Linked DNA regions of Schizosaccharomyces pombe. Changing the gene in region 1 together with any one later gene gives a genetic interaction. Each region holds a gene or a part of one and is shown on either strand. Other genes may lie near its edges. The genes, in order: erv46 and SPOM_SPBPB2B2.18.

What was found.
Region 2: mutations in erv46 (region 1) and SPOM_SPBPB2B2.18 together harm fitness more than expected from each alone (negative genetic interaction), as found in Schizosaccharomyces pombe (one large-scale study listed by BioGRID).

The regions. Positions count from the first base shown.
Region 1 is NC_003424.3:210,989-215,141, forward strand, and holds erv46 (COPII-coated vesicle-associated protein Erv46), read right to left. Parts: upstream 2,536-4,153; 5' UTR 2,219-2,535; coding exon 1,046-2,218; 3' UTR 726-1,045; downstream 1-725. Other genes in the region: SPOM_SPAC24B11.07C (oxidoreductase), read right to left, coding at 1-43.
Region 2 is NC_003423.3:4,500,467-4,504,247, forward strand, and holds SPOM_SPBPB2B2.18 (uncharacterized protein), read left to right. Parts: upstream 1-2,225; coding exon 2,226-2,259; intron 2,260-2,320; coding exon 2,321-2,391; intron 2,392-2,601; coding exon 2,602-2,820; intron 2,821-3,060; coding exon 3,061-3,198; downstream 3,199-3,781. Other genes in the region: ftm7 (transmembrane helix domain-containing protein), read right to left, coding at 1,490-1,930; SPOM_SPBPB2B2.19C (transmembrane helix domain-containing protein), read right to left, coding at 3,444-3,781.

The DNA.
Region 1 (4,153 bases):
CACACAAAATGCTGACACGCTCCTTTTTTCCTGCGTCAGTCATTTCAGTAGCAAATTAAAAATGACTCTTCTTAAAAAAAAATTATATTTACACTTTAAAAAAAAAACTCAATCGTTGGTTTTGGATTTCTTTTTTCGAGTTGAATTCGTTTGTTAAATCTTTAATAAACTCCACGATTCCATGCAGCTCTAATAACGACTATACTAAAACCGTTTTCACACGTAAATCGAAAGCTTTTCTAAAAGTGATTTATCCAAAGCAGCAAATTGTGGTTTGCTATTTTTCGAAACCGTTTCTATAGGATCACACCGTACAAAAGAGCGCTAATTGTAAATGTATGTATTTGGAAAAGGGAAATTGGTTTCCAATGGAAACGATCGGTTTTCCTTGTGGCTTCTAAGACGTATGATTGTCGGTCTCGGGGTTATGCTTATGGTAGAAGAGCGTGTATGGATATGACAACTCATACCATTCCGCTTGGCACGATCTTCCTTGGAGTGCACTAAAAAAAAACTAAAAAAATTTTGATCACTCGTACTACAAATAATACTTATTTTTATTAATACTTTAAGACAATTCAATTCATTTTAATTTCCTTTTTATTTAAAATGCTATAGAATCAAGACAATACTTTAGGTTCGGAAAGCGAATATATCTAATACTATATGTCCTTGTAAAATTGAATACACCAGATAGAAAGATCTTTATCTTTGTATGTTTAATTAGAAAGAAGACGAGTTTAACATTAAAAGAAATGAATTGAGATGTAGGGAAAGAAAGTGCGTGGTTCGTATGCTCTTCAATGTGAATATAGCGAGTGGTTGTTTGCTAAACGAGGCTAAAAGCAATTTGTGATTGATAAGCGAGTCATGAAATATCAAGTGGTATCAATTTGGAATAGTATAGGAAATAGAGTATCTAAAGTTACAAATCAGGCACTTGCCATGGAAACCGATGGTATTTACATTGATCGATAGGACCAAACAGAAGAAAAGAAAAGAACGAAAAACAAAACAAAACAAATTTAGTGCATAAACAATCTGATCAATTTTTCTTTAACTTTTGAACCTCATAATAGCCTCTATCAACAAACGAAGCAAGTGTAACGCAGCCCCCAAGCAAAGCTAAAACATTACTCAAAAATCCACCAAAGGTATTGCCACGTACTTGACGTTCAATAACACGCATAGGACTAATATCAAATTGAAACCATACACCAGGGATTCCGCCATGAAAGTTAACATGGGTAGGGACTTTTTCTTCACGACCGCCACGAATAGAACGTTCATGCTGTGTGACAGCATATTTGTTTGTGTCTATGGGAAGTGTGCTCTTAGACAAAGGCATGAATTGGTAGGAAACGCACTTAATAAAATATTCGTAGCGATAATCGGCAGTGCTTACCTTTTTCACTGTTCCATCTAAAGGATTGGAATAGTGGACAGACGCATCTAAAGGAGGGCCGAAACTAAGATGATGGATGGAGTGACTCATGTCATGCAAATCGAGTTCATTAATGTAGTCACGTGTATCATGAACATGCTGATTTCCGTTTTGAGTAGATCGTCCAGGAGCAATGTGGAAATTACCGGCCATTCGATTGACGGAGAGCTGACCAGCCAAGTTACAACCTTCGACCTTTTGAGCTTCATAAAGCTCCTTAAAGTTTTCATCTTTACACTGTTTAAAGGCATCAACGTCACCAATTCGCCAGTGTGCCTTACCGTACGCATCTCGAACGGCATCACAGGTATTGCAACAACCTGGGGTATCTTCAGGAGCAAAGTCGGCTGCCCCATAACAATCACCACATTCAGCGGCTCCGTCGTCAGAAATAGATTGTTGATTTCCAATATCCAAATCATCAACGCTTATAATTTCGCCCGAAGGGCTCAACCTCGTTTTAGAAACGGTATGGTGGATGTCACGCTGGAATTCACCACTGACATCCAAGACATCGACAGTAAGTATTTGACAAGGGATACGGGGGAAGGTGATGTTAAAATTGATTTCCATTCGATCGCCATGTGAGGGATTGACGATGATTTCATGGACTGCGATGACTCGCCTGTAATTGATCCATTCCATGAGAACAATAAAAATGACAATAAGTCCGGAAACGAGTGTTATAAGACCGCCACTAGCAGTTTTTATGCGAGCATCTTCGACAGTTTTTTGAAAGGCATCAAAACGCCTAAGGGGTGAACGGAATTGCATTTTTTGAAACTATCGGTCGATAGATACGTTTTTGTAACAATAATACAGAGGAAAAAAACGATTATATGGAGAAGCAGTTCTTTGAACCAACTTGAAAATACTTTTTTTGGATTAAAGGATTAGAAGGGCCCACCTCAGTGGTTCCAACTATGCACGGTTATGTTAGAGCTTTGTGAAATGCTGACCACCAAATCTTATATAAAATAATGTGCTTGAACTTGAAAAACGATCATTCCCAGAATGAAATATTTGGAAATTGTCGAAACAACTTGACTAAGGGGGCTTGAGGTAGTCGGGGAAAGTATACGTTGAGGGTCAACCCAAGCGCAGGACTAGAAGTAGGTTAATAGACAGAGGTGCAAAGAGGGATTGAATTAGTTTGACAGGGATTATGATTGTTTATTGAAAAATCAGATATATATGGGTTCAAATGGAATGTATTCTAAGGGAGCCTAAAAGGCGTTTCAGTTTTAACGTGGAGTTTAATGTAAACGCCGAGGAAAAAGTAGATCAATTAACTAAAAAAGAGAAGACAAATAGTAATTTGAAAGGAAAACTCAGTGTTATTAAGTACAACTCAGTGTGATTGAGTAAATATAGTTCAAGTATAAGTGCGTATACGTTCCAGGTATTATTGTCTTTAAACAAAATCTAAGTATTATTGACTAAAAAACAATCCAAGTACTATTTAGCAAGCACAATCCGAACTACCTATTGAGTTTACACAGTTTATTCAATAAGCGCTTATGCGATCTAAGCACTTTCGAATAAGCGCTTGTTGAATAAGCGGAATCCAAGCTTCTCTAATATAAACCTAAACCAAACACTATGGGATAAACGCAACGCTACTACAAATTTTTTTTTTTAGCATGTCTAATACGGATACCATCAATGTATGACTCAATTTCAAGCATCACCGTCGCCAACACTGTTTAACCAAATACCTTGTATACTAGCACCGCTGGTTTCGTTATGATGCGCAACTAACAAGAAAGATGTACAAGGATGCCTTGTAAATGGGTATTTGGGAGACACAGGATCCGGCAACTTGTGCGATTTGATGAGTTTCCCTTGATGTACATCAGTCATTATCCTATGTCTTTTCCCCATTTTTCGCCATCCTAAAAAAAGCTTAATTCATTATTTGGTCAGCAATCGCAGAAAAGACGCTCCAACACACTCGTGCGTATGGCTGTTCTCCATATTGGGCCAACCTTGTTTCGCTGACTTCTCATGGTGCACTATGTATGCCTAAGTAATTCACAACCATTCACAATACGAAGTGTAAGCACAGATCGGGTTTAGGAAAGGGTAATTGTAATCACATGAGTGCATATCCACACAAATGTCAGAGGAACCTCTCGTTACTCCTTTTCCTCCTCATTCTTTGCCTGCAAGGAGAGACCACCTTTTGCTCATTCCCATCATAACCCTTTCGTAAATGTACTAGTTGGAGGTTCCTCCACCTTTTTTATCGACCAACACTCTCTGCCCATTCGGCCATCCGATATCTACTCGACCGTCGCTTCCAATCTATCTATCCTCATGTACTGCACTTGGCGATCCAGTGGTATGGAATTTCGGAGCTTGATTGAACTTATGGCAATCATCATCAAATCATCAACAGAGAGCACCGAATATTTTTATCTAGGATAACCTGAAGTGGCCCCCAAAGAACCCAAACCCCCACAACCTTCACCTTCCTAAGTAGAGTCCTTCTTAGGTGTACATCCCAATAGAGGTTTTGCAAGGCAAGACACACAGCGCTTGTAAGGTTGGTTATGCTTGTATGTTTTGTTATACTGCACTTGCGCTTTTATTTCCACCGATGCTTTTGTAAACAATTGGACATCATAAGCAAAAGAGTTTTTTCTTTTAAGGGATAAATAATAAATTGAATGAATGGATCCATTCATTCAATTATTTTTTTCCCAC
Region 2 (3,781 bases), on another chromosome or scaffold:
GGAGCTATCAGAGTGACATATATGACTTAACGAAGCTGTGTATGGCTCATGATCACTATTTAGAATTGAATGAAAACAACCAATGTCAATCACAGTGTCGAAATGCCCCTTGAATTCATTTAATCTTGAAAAATCGCGTTGATTAAAGTTGACATTACTTTTTTCACTAGATGTTTTATCGATTGCTTTAGAAATAGCCCTTTCGGAAATATCAATACCCACGACTTTATATCCAAGACTGGCTAAATATCTAGCATTTCTATTTGGTTCACAACCGGCATCTAATACATTCTCATGTAATTTCCCCAGTTGTACAAGATTCATGATCTATTCGTCTGGTTTCTCATTATCAAATGGTGTTGCGGGATCTTCATACATATTTTCCCAACTATTTTTTACTTCAGAGATATATTTCTTCATTGTTCTTAATGATATATAAAAAATGGTGAAATATTTATTTATTGCCCCATCATGTTTATTTTTATATCCTTCTTTCTCTGTCAGGAAATCTATTTCCGAGCTGACGATAAAAAAACATGTTGCAAGTCGCCGAAACTACCTCGGCTTTTATTACTATGTCCGAAAAGTGCGCGAAATATTGGAATGGCTTGTAAATTATGCATTTAGCCAAATAAAGTGATAGTAAGCGCAAAGTGTATGACTCAATGAAAATCGGGTGTATCAACTACTCAGTTGTTTACCATACAATGTATTGTAAATTATGGGTAGTGTCGTCGCTATTACATTTAAAAAATATATTATATTGAAGGTATCTAATAAGAAGTAAATGTTTTTCTGTGTAATAATAGTGAATTCTTCTCATCAAAAATATAAACGAACTGATTTTTCGTCACCTTATTAGGTTATACAAAGTCATAACAATGCAAAACCAAAGCGGATAGCATATCAAACTAAGAATATGACTTGCTATTAAAAATTAGTTTCGCTTGAGTTTTATTTTAAGAGTAGTAATAGTCAGAATTTATTGTGCTGATACACTTCAACTTACTTGATTAATAATTGAAAAAGAGAAATTTACAATTGAAATTGAAATGGATGGATTTGAAACAAACCATTCGTCAACATCACCGCTACTTTAAAAATGCTACTGTACTTGCGAGTATAACTACACAAAAGTACATATTTAAGCGATTGCATCAAGTAATGTCATATATAGAAATACAATAATATAAACGGAGCACAAACTGAACCTCGTTCTTGATATATCAAGTCCTCTTTATTGTACCATAATGTTGTATGTCGTTGTGCTATATTTTTTTGTAAGTTACAATCATACTGATTGGCATAGCTTCTGCTTTTAACATAACGGCGATCAAGCCATATTTGATCAGGTTAGGCAGAATTCCAATGATTGCATTAGAAGGTTTAGATCTTCAAGTCAATTTTACGATTACAAGCAAAGGAGAAATAGCAATCAAGCCAGTATCGAATACTCATTACACGTATATAGCAAGATACTATGGAATTGTTATCGTGATATGAATCTTGATGGTGGATTATTATAGCCCTGGTGCAGATCACTAATATCGGTTTTCGAGTAAGAATGATTCTTGCTTTCTGACCTAGTGACTTTCTCAATAGAGAAAAGTATAATGACTTGAAATTTAGAAAACGTTCTAATGGAGTTAATGGAGTGAGTTCTAATGAAACGAGGAAAAAATTTGTTATGATATACTACGACGCATCCAAATGTAAAGGATCGGAATTTAGATGAAACCGATGGTACTTCCGAGTAAATGTACCAACAATATAATAAATAAATCAGCAATTTTACTGCTAGACAATATTTCACTGTGAGGCTTAGTCTTGGTATAAATAGAGGGACTCTGTCAAAACAAATATTTTGAACTAGACTCGAATTCTTCATAATTCTATTCACTTGAGTGTTTATTTTTTTTAACAATGCCATTACATTTACGAGATATGTGGATATCCACTGACGATTATAAGGATGTTTTACTTACGTGTCCTGTGTGGTATGAAATTAGTGAAAGAGAATTAAATCATGCTGTTTGGGGACAATATTAAAATGGTGAAGTTATAATGAAACAGTTGTTGGAAGCGATTAGTTTCAAAAATTAGCGACTCGTATTTTGTTTATTATTATTATTATTTTTTCTTTTTTTTTTATTCGCTGTTTTAAAATTGTTTCCAGCAATCTTCTTCCTGTTCTCTTTTTATCCGTTTGACAACACATTTTGCTAATGCTTTTTTTTTTTTTTAGTTCAAAGAAGACTGGTACGAGAAATAAACAAGTTCAGTAGTTTCGAAAGCAATTGGCTCTTTCTTTTGTTTTTAGTCCGAGTATGTCGTCAGTTGAAAACCGTAACGGTTCTCATTGTGCCTGTTCTTCCGGTTTATACGAATAAGGTAAGAACATTCAAGAAAGCGTTTGATATGAAGTCTGTTCCATTATTGCTCTTAGTGCCTGACAAACGTTGTTAGTCTGTTTTGAGTTTACAAGTTTGTTAAGCTAATAGCCATTCATTGATCTTCATTGTTACATGCTTTCCATGGAATAGTTGGAGGTGTTTACTTTTCAACTTGTTAGCGATCGCTTGCTAACATTTTTAATAATAGGTACTTTGTTGTTCTCAGTGTGACTGGCACGAACCAGCAAATGTTTACTCGATTGAACAAAGGCGTAGTCATGATGATGATCTTCCTACCATTAAGGGTTCTGATGCTAGTACTCAACAGTATGAAAGAAAAACTTATATTACCGATGCTAGTCCCGAATCTCAGAATCTGTTTTTAAGCAAAAGTAAAGAGGAGGGAGTTATCTTCTTATGCATACAAGTAAGCTTTTAACCTTGATTCTATTTATTCACTTTTACCATTTACTACTTTCGCAAATTCCTGTTTTTTGTTGGGGATATGAAGGGGAATATAAGGGTAAAGTAGATGAAATGGATGTATTTGAAAGTTGATTTGGATTCGATTTATTACTTTGAATCCCCGTTTATTATTATACGTTTATGTCGTTTTAAAGAAAACCATGCGATGTACTATATTAATTTTGTAAAATATATATTATAGATAAAAAAATTGTTGGGAAAATGGGAAAGCAAGTTGAAAATAATTAAATTCAATAAATTAGCAAAATATGTTTATGAAGGTAACCAGTTTTTTCTTTTTATTTTTTTTTTGTCTATATGTCAGATTCGCAACTTTTAAGTTTGAACAAAACATTATTTCACATCGACTCAAAGGTTATGTGTATTTAAAACGTTCCAGTAAAAAAATATTCATTTGTAAAAAATAAATAGGTGGTATATTAAATAAGAATGAACTTACTACACAATTTCTGTGTAAAAAAGTGAGATTAAAATAACTGGATATTAATCCATTGATAAACAAATAATAAATAAAATAATCCCGGTAACCCCTTTAAAGGTGAATCAAGTAAACCATGGTTTTTGTCAAATCATTTTCTCTTGAGCCTCTTCAGCTACATTTCGATTGTAGGCAAGTGCTTCATTATGGGTGGGAAACATTATGTAACATGGAAAAGCAATTTTCTCCATAAAAGTGAAAAGATCACCAATGATCACCGACAGTCTGTAATCAAAGTTTCCAAATATAATATTCGACAGGTAATGCAACATTGGAGATGCACAGAATATAAAGATAAATGCATTTAGCATTCTTCTAAAAAATCTGGCTTTTGAAGCATTTTCGTAAGTTGTTACAGACGTGCATTGTTTCAATAAATGACAAATAGAATACACCCAAATTGCAGGAGATACCTCATACTGGA